2 linked regions of the Caenorhabditis elegans genome follow. The protein of the gene in region 1 purifies or fractionates together with the protein of each later gene. This does not show direct contact. Each region holds a gene or a part of one and is shown in the gene's direction. Other genes may lie near its edges.

Region 1 (4,314 bases):
CTTGAGTTACTCTACGCCGAACCAAACTGCGAAGCCTAGCAAATCTCCGATTTGCTATCAAATGAATTTTCAATAAATTTCATTAAATTATTTTGAAAAATAACCAAAAACGTTAAAAACATAAAACATGATATTTAAAAATTCTCCAACGTTAACAATCGATCAATACAAAGAAAAAAATTTATTTTTCAATTTTACATCGTATCAAGAATGGCTTCTGAAGCTGCTCCAACATCTGCTCTCACGTAACTTTTGAAACGCATTAAGAATGCAGGCAGGGCACGTAAGTAGGCAGAAAGGTAGGCAGACAAATAGGTAGATATGGGCAATATGAGTATGAGTATGGGCAGGCAACTTGTCTGACTGTCTACCTACATGCCTGAATAGTGCCCTGTCTGCTTTTGTACGTGACCATGCCTGCTTGCCTACATTTCTGCCTACCTACCCGTTTGCCTGCAGACGTGCCTACTTACCAAAAAAAATATCTAGGACATTTCTGAGTGGAACAAAACTTTGAATTCCTCTCTGAAAAATATGTAGATCCAGACCCATATCATAAATTTCCAGAAAAATCGTTTCACAAACGTGGCATGCTTCGACGAGATATTGGACCGTGACAATGAGGATTTCTATGTTCATGCGAATACTTTTCGTACTCCATATGGAAATTTTCTGATTAGTCAAGCACCAAATGACTCGACAAATGGTGATCATCTTCATTTGATGTGGATCTACAATGTCCAAACTGTTGTTTGCCTTGTTTCTCCAGAAGAGGCTGGAGGTTATTTTGTGCCAAAAGAAGGAGAAACTTTCACGAGCTTTCAAAAGTATCAGATGAAAACTATCGGAATTTTCGATGAAAAACAAGGCGTCACTGTTTATCAATGTGAATTGAAATCGTATAAAGCTCCGAAGAAACTCAATCGCCGAATGATTTATATAATTTGCTGCGACACATGTAATATTTATAATTATCCCAATTTTATAAAACATATCAAATTTTTCAGCTGTTGGATCCATTCGTTCTCCTCGTCAACAAACAGTTATCATGGAATACATGTGGGCTTTTGAAGAGGCAAATGCAATTGAAAATGGAGTAGCATTGGCAGATGCAAAAACAACTGTTTTGGTTCATGCAATTGCTGGAACTCGTCGATGTGCTTCATTTGTTGCTACATCAGTTATGTGCAAACAGTTACTTGAAGCTGGAAATTTTTCGGCAATGGAAACATGGTTTGAAATGAGAAAGAGAAGAGCTCATACATGTACTCGTAAACATGATTTCTTTTCGTCAATCTACACTTTTTTTGCATTTTGTGTTCAATGTAGTGCCGTCAGCGAGACTGATGAGAATTATGTCAAATCTATGGAGGTAAGTGATTTTTATGGAAACCATGTTAGTATATTATTCATTTTTCATATTGCGAAGACAATCCTCGAAAAAAAGAATCAAGAACAGAAAACTGCCTAGAAATTTGAACTTGCTTTTTTTAGCAACTTATACAACCGAATAAATTTTCTTTGGCAGATCTTTATAGTTTTATTGTCGCATTCCACTCATTCTCTGAAAGAAGCATTAAAGACAGTTATTGGTTTTGAACTCAATCTATAATATAATGTGCAAAAATCTATGTAAAATTGAAGATTAATTCCTCTGATTGGAAATTTAATTGGTATTGGTATTATTGGTCAAATGTTCACAAAACTAAGCAGAAATTGCTTGCCAAAATCTCAGTCAATGGAATTACGTAGGGAACCACACATGCAGTGAAGATCCATCGACTCAATTTTATTACGTTTCCGTCGGAAGCTATTCGAAAGTTGTTCGTAGTCTATGGTTTCTATTGTATATGGTGGTTCAATATTCGTCCAATTAAACCGTCTTCTCTCATTCAGGGTGCTTTCTCATAATTATCGAACCTCGTCAACCTATAAGACTAGTTTGTGTCAAGTGCAATTGTCAACTTGGATTGAAGAAAGATTCATTTCTCTTTTTTACACGTTGATTTTGAAGTATTTCAAAAATTTCTGACATTTCAAGTATCTGCCACTGACCATGAAAGTTAGCCTTTACATTTGTAGAATTACTGATTCAGTAAACATTTCAGCTGTATTTTTATATAGTTGTCTCGCAATTTGTAGGTATCAGAATGTCGTATATTTGGCGTCAATTAGGATCTCCTACGGTTGCAATCACATTATCAGTTAGTACAGTAATCTATGTTACTGTAATTTGTCCAATTGTTTTCATCCACTTGTTTGGGGACCATTTGAATGTCTTAGAGGATGATGAATGTCCGGTTTGTTTAGTTTAATGTTTAATTCAATATTTCAATATTTTCAGATTCAAATGAGTGACCTTCGGCAACGAGTGAGTTTTGTTAGAGAGCAAATTCACGAAAATACCAGGAAGAAAAGAGAATTGGCGTGTAAGTTTTGATAGTCCAGTTTTTTATTTGTAGTATTTTGAAATGGGCCTTGCAAGTATAATAGATAATTAAAATAGTTGAGCTTCGTTAAATAATTTGATCAAGAAAATATGTCAGGATTTGTATTGCACTTGTATGGGATTCATATTAAAATTTTTGGAAAATATTAATTCGTTTCCGAAATTAAAAAATATTTCCAAAATAATTTTAGCATGCTGCATTGGACCACCTGGAATGAAAGGATTTCCAGGAAAGAATTCAAGAGATGGATATGACGGAGAACCAGGTGAGATAAACAAGGGAAATATTATTAATTCTCATATCAAAAATTAAGGTCGAGATGGCCAACCTGGACGTCCAGCAGATGGTGATAGTCGAATGGTATGTATACGTGAATGCCCAACAGGACGACCTGGACGTGAAGGTGGAGATGGACCAAAAGGATCAAAAGGACAAAGAGGACGTACTGGTCAGCAAGGAGATTCAGCGCCACCGTCAATACGTGGTGAACCTGGAGAAAGAGGAGATAAGGGATTCCCTGGAGTTGCAGGTATGCTTCTTAAGTAGTAACCACTGACTTTTCTTCATTTTGTTGATTTCTTTAAAGATCTTGAGTAGTGCTAAATTGTTCTAAACTAAGGAACGTAATAGAATAGCTTTTCAAAAATTGTTTGAAACTTGCCAATTAACAGGTAACAAATACCAATTACTGAACTATCTTTTTTTTGAAGTCCCCCGAAGAATTCTACTAGTTTTATTTTAAAGTTTAATTATTTTTGAATAATTTTTACTCAAGTAGAAGGTTCGAATTTTTCAAAAGTTTCGGAAAATTTCGGAAGTTGTGGCGAGACCAACTTAGAAGGTTATCGTGTGCCTCACGGTTTCACATAATGACAATAGTAATAAGTTGTTATTAATAACACCAAACTAATAAATTTATAGGACCAGCCGGAGAACCAGGTGAACCAGGACATATCTATGTGTCTGATGGACCACCTGGAAAAGATGGAGAAACAGGGCCACGTGGGCCACCAGGTGAGAAAGGAAGAACTGGAAGAGACGGAGAAGATGGATTACCTGGTGAACGAGGTGAACGTGGATATCAAGGATTAAAAGGAGAAATTGGAAAAAGAGGACCTGTGGGAACTTTTGGGCCAATTGGTTAGTTACAGAGAAGTTACAATTTCGATAATGCTCAACTTTTCAGGTCCAAAAGGAGAACCATGGCCATGTGAATCATGTCCACCGCCCCGTGTTAGCCCTGGATACTATGTGAATAAACGGAATAAGAAACATTGATTCTTTCTGATGCCTTGACTTATATTTTCTTCTATATAAACATACTTATCTTGAAATCACAAACGACTTCATATTAAAATAAAAACAAATAAAATCATAACAGAACAGAAAACAAAATTAAATGTCAACAAAAACAATTTAGGGATATCGGACAATTTCAATCAGTTTCCGATAGTTTAGTCACTTTGGCAGCTTTCTCCTTTTTTTTCTTCTCGGCGAGGCGTTCCTTGTTCTTTTGAGACGATTTCAACGATTTTTTCATCTGAAAAAAGTTATAAATACTTTTTTAAAAATCTATATTTATCTGTCTCTAACAGAGGATATTAAGGAAATAAAGAGCCTACCGAGTTCATTTCATCTTCTCTTGTAGCTTTTCGGCTCTTTCTCTTCCATTCCTTTGTCTCATCAATTTTCTGGTTTAATACGTCAATTGCATTATCACCAACTGATCTCAAACGGGCAACAATTTCAGGAGTAATGTACTTTGTCTTCATCGAATCCGATCCATCAACACGTGGAAGTGGAAGGGAAAGCTCCGTGCGTAGTTGTGCTTGAAGTTGGCGACTTTTCTGGACCATTGTGTCAA
Region 2 (6,723 bases), on another chromosome or scaffold:
TGCGATATGTACCCATTTTTGACCATTCATAGTCCTATCTTACCTGCGGATTGGACAATATTTTATTTTAAATATGAAATCTGTATCGCCTTAGCTTTAGGGTACCTCCAAGAGCCACGAACGCCCTTACGAACAATGAGAAGAACTGAGGTGAAAGATCTTCGCCACAACTTGCACCTTTTTTTGCACGTATATTAAGCTGTTTTCTAGGAAATTCGTGGATCACACTTCAATTTTGTAATCATGCTTCCCGCTACTCCTGCTTCTCAGAACGATGTGAAATGTGCTTGTGGCATTGAATTTTTAGTGAGAGTTCGAAAATCCTCTTGTGAGTTGGAAACGCATAAAGACATGCTCCCATCTGTCATTCTTTCTTTTTTTCTACTCCCCCCTTGACCCGTCACAATTTCCGTTGCACTTTCAATGTCTCTCATCATCTTCATTTTTATCGAAGCAGTCATTGACCCGAATGTTAGATTACTTGATTACTCACTTGCGCTCACGTTTTAAAATTTTGTGCTTGAAAATGTTTCTGCTCTAACTATATAATTTGTATTCAAATGTACCTTGAAAAAGCAGAATCAAAATAATTATAGGACACATGAGTCAGAATCTATTCCAAACATCAGTGCAAGATAAGCTACATTCTTGAAAGAAGAGAAAAATGTTAGTGCTCTCTTAAAAGTGCATCCGCATCATCCCTCTTATTTGGCCAGCAGCCGTCGTTAGCCAAGACACACAAAAAAGTGAAAGAACTATGTTTTACTCATTTCAATAAAACAGCCTTCTTTCTTCATCAACCCCGCCGAGTATGCACTTTCTGACTTGATCCCATCGTCATTCGCACATATGCTTTTGAGTTCAATTTTATTTTCTCTTGTTTTCATTGCTTTATTCTTTAAAATAGTGCGGTTTGCTGAAATTTGTTTGGTACTTGTGTATTATATCCCCACCATTTTAAATGAATATTTAAAAGTATTAAAAAAATATTCCTATTTTCCTATTTTTACTTTAGCACAGTAAGTAGAAATTTTGAATACGATCAATATTTCTCTTCTTGTAGCTGGAATAATTGCTGGGTAGCACACTCAAAAGTTTATGTCGTCAAACTAACTTTTCTAGTAATTTGTGAAAACTGCGCAAAGTAAAAGTATGGCTGAATTCCTAAAGAGCTGAAATGACCAGATATAAAATTAAACTTTGCAAAAAAATTTTTTATTTTTTATTTTTTTTTGTTTCAAGTTAAATGAGGTAAACCCTAGTTATGACCAATTTTTAAAATTTATATTGGATTGCATTTTTTACATTTTCTTTTTTATTTCCGTTCAACTTCCTTGTGTTTTTTCGCGGGTTGGAGCATTGAATGTTGATGTGTGCTTTTTCACCGTGCTTCACACAAAATGTAGGCGGAGATTTTAAAGTGGAAAATGGTGAAGAAGCGCGCCGTCACTATAGATATTCGTTGTGTTCTCAAATATTTCCTGAACAATGTCCCCGCACTTTAGAATTTTGCGAAGCGAAAAGTGCACATTTTATCTCAATATTATATCCAAGGTCTTAAGTAACTTTACTAGTTCTGCGTCAGCTACAGTAAGACGATACAATTTCTAATCTGCTTCTAATCTGTTTCTTGAAGCGATGTTGAGCACAGAATTCAAAAACGTCTCATTTTGTCGAAATTAGAGTATTAATCATGAACTGAAACTGAAAAACTTACATTTGTGTTTTGATACTTCTATGCCCTAAGTTCAACTTTGCAACAGCTTTTCGTAATCTTTTCTACTGAAGCTGAAAAGCTTGCATTTGTAATCCATCGTTTTACATATTAGAAATACGACAAATTGGTGCTAATAGGATAGATTCGTTGAATAGTCATTATTTTCATCGTTCAAAACCACTCTATTTCGCTATTTAAACTCAAAATCAAGTTCGTTTAAAACTGGAGCACGAGAGAAAATAATTTCTGATTTCCGTAACAATATTTGCGTAAACTAGCTTAAAGTAATATTTACTAAAACTTTCAGATGAAGATGGAATGTATGTTCCTCTCAAACCAAGAATTAGACATACCCATGGAACTCCAAAAATGCTGTATGTCCATTGACCATGCATCTGAAAGTGTTATTGAAAGACCAGTGGAACTAACGTGCCTGTCCAACGTCGTGAATGGGACGGGAATCAGTGACAAAATCGCATCAGGTCGTTTTGGTACAGTCTTCTTAGGAACTATTACGGATTCAATGTTACAGGTATGTACAAAAAAAATTTTCGGCAAACGGCAAATCGGCAAAATGTAGAAATGCAAATTTCCGGCAAATCAGCAATTTTCCAAATTGCCGATTTGCCGAATTTGCCGAAAATTGTGGTTTTGCACATTAAAAAAATTAAAACAAATTCCTCTAAAAATTTCCGGCAAATTAATAGCCGGCAAACGACAATTCGGCAATTTGCTAAAAATGAAAATTTCCGGCAAATGGGTGATCAGTACATACCTTTTTTAACTTTTATAATAAAACAATGTAAGGAAATTACGGAATTTATCATCAAAATTTCTTAAAATATTGCATATTCTGCTGCTAAACCCCTGATGGACAGCTAAAAAATACACATTTTTCACTAGTGTTTCTATACAATTATATGTATTCTTCAGTTCCTTTTAGTTCAAAATACCTATAGAGCTTTGGTTTATAATTATTTTTAACATTTTTTGCACACGCTATTAAAAGTGCAATCCAAGGTCAAAAAATTGAGCAGGTGTTACAACGTTTGACCGCTTTCAGCTGTTTTAGTGTCGTTATTTCAAAATTGAATTCAAGGTTGCAATCAAAGAGTATCACGAAACATTTCATGATGCCGTGCTAACTGCACACGATGAAGGCTCCACTCTTCAGAAAATAATTTCTATCGAGCATCCGGCTATTGTACAGACTTTCTCGGTGACTGATATTTGAAATTTTTGTACTTATTGTTTTTTTTTTCAGGTTTCTCATTTTCAAGATATAGTGTATAAAGTAATGGAGTTCCATTCTTGGACTTTACACGGTAAGGCATGTATCAAAAAGTTTCAACATTTTCGCTACTCCACCACTATAATGTACTTTTCAAAAATAGAGTTAGTGAGTAACATTGATTAGTTGCAGAAAAACGTGTGTACTTCGAAAAAATTGATCGAACGAATAGTAGGATTACTTTCTACTATTGTATCTTTTCATTCTCTAAATGTTAATCTTTTCAGACGACATTTTGGACAAAGGCAAGTACGACGAGTCCCAGACTAAGCTTGTATTGGTACAAGCCACAAGAGCTCTCGAATATTTGCATGCACAAAATCTTTGCCATGGGACGCTTCATGTAAGAAACTCGGAAAAATTAGTGATATACGCAATAGGTCAACGATTTTGCAGACAAAGAATATTTTCTTGCAAGAAAATATGGTCAAAATTTCGGATATTGAAAGCTCCCAATTTTTGAACTGGCTCCCATTCAGCCAAACACCACTGCACATTCTTCCATTTATTGCTCCAGAATTGCACAATCAGTTATCAGAAGTGACTTCTGAATGCGATTTATGGGTAAAAACTACTCTTATAGTGCTAAAAGGACCAAATATCAAAGTTACACTTTTAAAAAAACTTGGGAAGTTTTTTAACAACTGTCAAAAAGTGACAATTACTTAGATTTTGCCAGTTATATTTTTGGAAGTCAACCAAAAAAAAAGTTCTACAATATTCAACTTTATATTAGTTTAAATTGCTCGTGTAAAGACATTCTGGATTTTCTTAAAAGTTCAAAATCAGCACCTTGCCAAAACTTTGACTGGAAATTCTTAAGAAATCTAAAAAATGTTTGGAGTGTAATAAATGTACTTAAACAAAATCCCCATTTATTCAGAGTTTGGGTGTGTGCATTTTTGTTATGGCTACTGGATCTTGTCCGTTCATTTTGGAAAGCCGCAACACTATGATGGAAAGTATTCAAGCTGGTATCCTAGGTTCCCCCGTTCTTGCCAGTGACAAAATTCAATCGCTAGTGGAACAGCTGATTCATGTAAACCCATCTGAACGCATGTCACTTAAATCTTTAATTGAAGATGATTGGATGACTTCTGACCTAGTTTGGAACTATTTTGTAAGATTAAAAAAAACCATTTCAAAACAGCATTAGCTACTATAATAGTATTCCAGATTTCATGTCATGAAGATCTCATTAGAGAGTTGCCAGTAGTTGATAGATTCATTCCGGCAGAGTCCCTGGAAAAGAGCACAGTTCAGAGAGACGGCTCAGAAATCTCCATCGAAACCTTAGATGAGGGCTACAAAAGTGTAGCATCAGATCATCCAGAAGAGCCAGCTGTCTCTGGAGAGCAACAAGTCTTGACTGAACCTGTGCCAAAAAAATATCACAAAAAGTTTGCAGTGGTTTGTGCACAAATTTTTAAATGGTGTTCAAAAAAACAGAAATATTTTCCAGTTTGCAATGGAAAACGTCCGTAAGGAGTGGGACAATGACATCACTCGCATTGAGAAATGCAAACTGGTATGTTTTTTTATTTACGAATTACGATGAGAACGAAACTGATATTTTCAGAGAGACGGAAGCATGTGCTTGAGAATCGTCATTCCAGCAAAAGATGAAATTGCCTCTTCGTCAATTTTCAATCGCATAATAAAAAGCCGTTTGGGTCAGACGATCAAGCGCTTCCGATCACATCAAGATACTGTAGTTGATTCGGATTTTGGAGATTACGCACTTATGGTAGGATATAATTATTTTTGTCATCTTATGGTTTTTTTTCTTCAGAACTTCCGCAGAGAAAACACCGAGATTGAAGTTGCTCGAAACATGCCAAAGTTCACGAACAAACAGCAAGTTCAGCTCTACTATTGCAAAAAGGAAGCCGAACGTGTCTGGGAAAATCTGGCGGTGAGAGTGTTTTGTTTGGGTAGTTTTAAAATCTGTATGATTTTCAGATAAAAATTTGCATGCGATGTCGAAGAGCTGGAACTGATGCTTTGAATCACGACGAGGATAAGTGTCTTTATAAGCTGATTGCAGAAGCTGTGGAGAGTGAAGAAGTGATTTATTGTGAGTTGGAATTTAGATAATAATAGAAATTCTGATTTAAAAAAAATGTTTGAAGTTTAATGGCTCAAACAGAGTTTCAGAATTAATAGTGGGGAAAATTATTAAAAATCAAATTGCTAAAAATGGCTAAAATTGCTAAAATGACCATTTATCAGTTACTCCACCTTTAACAACATTCCGAAAAATATTTTTTTGTCGACTACCGTAATTTCAAGTTTCTAATTGTTTTCAAACACAATTCGTCTGCAGCAAAGATTTCTAATTTTAAACCAAAAATGTCGAGAGCATTGTTTAGCTATACAACGAAACGTTTCAAAATATTTTGGAAAATTGGTTGTATGTTCTAATTATATATTATAGGTTCAAACCAGTTACATTGCTTTAGATTTATTGAAAAGTGGCCAACATAGTGAGTTTCACTACCTCTTGAAAAATGTTCAAAATTTTTTAGAAAAAATTTGTTATGGTATTTGATCATTTTAGCATCATAAGAATGGGTTTCAATAATTTTCTTATTTAATGTTGCTATGTCGTTTCAGATGGCGCAGAGGATCAATTCAATCTCCGTTTCTTCTCTCTTGTCTACAGAAATGACGGTGGACGTGCATCCGCAATGACTCGCTTCCGTAGAGGTTCAATAAGAGTTCTAACCTCTGGATACCGGAGAATTGTGAAACGTTTTCGACGACAGTCAACTTCTGGATCTGGTTCTTCTGGGTTGGGTTCGGACAATTGAAAATAAAAGTTTAGACGAGATTTTTGTTTTCATAAGTTCTAATTTTGTTTCTATGTATCGCTTTGTATGTAAATGACATTTTTTGCTCTGTTAATAAGTTGAAAGCGTGCAACCTTTTCGAGTAATTAATTCAATTCAATGTTCAAAAGAAAATCGATTTCTATTATTCAATTAAAAAAAATTTCTACCCATCTCAATATATGCACATTTTTCCAATTTCTCATGATTAATTGTAGCTATTACTGCGTTGTACAACACATTCCAAAAGTAATATTTTTTCGTATCGTATGCTGCAACCTCATATCCATATATTCCATCTCTCTTTTTTCTCTCTGTGAATTGTATAAAAATAAATATTTGAAAATTACAATTTATCAATCATAATAGTAAATTTAAACTTAATACCCGAAATTGGAGAATTCAAGATAAAACATAGTGACGTTCCAATGACGTCATGAAAGTGCAAATGACCAATGTAAAAAAAGATGATGAGGGAAAAAATATTGTGCTAACAAGTAAGAAGCATACAAATGTTAAGGGGGTTTTTTAATTGCACCACATAACGGCAGAGCACCTTGAAATGGTTTTGACAAGCACACTTAAAAATAATTAAAGCACGTTTAAAAAAAAAGATTATCAAATGATCGAAGTGTTTTATCGAGATTGTGATGAATGACTAAATGAATGATATGTTTAAGTCAAGGTTTAAATCAGACAAAGGCGGGTTCCGGAGCACTTGCACAGCATGATGTGAACTTCCCTTTATCGCTTTTGATGACTCCGTCAACGTGGAAGGCCGATGAAAACTCCTAAAAATGGCATATTTATTGAAAGATAATTAGCATATAAATTGCATCCGGATATTGTCTGTCTTACTAACCTCGTTGTCATCCGACTCATCC

The links.
Region 2: the proteins of col-53 (region 1) and K02E10.7 fractionate together in Caenorhabditis elegans (co-fractionation; one large-scale study listed by BioGRID). This does not show direct contact.

Annotation. Positions count from the first base shown.
Region 1 is NC_003279.8:5,642,587-5,646,900, forward strand, and holds col-53 (Col_cuticle_N domain-containing protein), read left to right. Parts: upstream 1-2,142; 5' UTR 2,143-2,150; coding exon 2,151-2,300; intron 2,301-2,344; coding exon 2,345-2,429; intron 2,430-2,640; coding exon 2,641-2,715; intron 2,716-2,763; coding exon 2,764-2,979; intron 2,980-3,371; coding exon 3,372-3,590; intron 3,591-3,636; coding exon 3,637-3,728; 3' UTR 3,729-3,784; downstream 3,785-4,314. Other genes in the region: M01A12.4 (Protein-tyrosine phosphatase catalytic domain-containing protein), read left to right, coding at 724-958, 1,008-1,471; F55F8.2 (ATP-dependent RNA helicase), read right to left, coding at 3,886-3,990, 4,073-4,314.
Region 2 is NC_003284.9:2,500,459-2,507,181, reverse strand, and holds K02E10.7 (Protein kinase domain-containing protein), read left to right. Parts: upstream 1-2,024; coding exon 2,025-2,249; intron 2,250-2,816; coding exon 2,817-2,936; intron 2,937-2,981; coding exon 2,982-3,042; intron 3,043-3,235; coding exon 3,236-3,351; intron 3,352-3,404; coding exon 3,405-3,572; intron 3,573-3,891; coding exon 3,892-4,128; intron 4,129-4,184; coding exon 4,185-4,418; intron 4,419-4,470; coding exon 4,471-4,536; intron 4,537-4,587; coding exon 4,588-4,755; intron 4,756-4,800; coding exon 4,801-4,923; intron 4,924-4,970; coding exon 4,971-5,085; intron 5,086-5,624; coding exon 5,625-5,821; 3' UTR 5,822-6,195; downstream 6,196-6,723. Other genes in the region: rabr-1 (RAB family), read right to left, coding at 6,532-6,630, 6,702-6,723.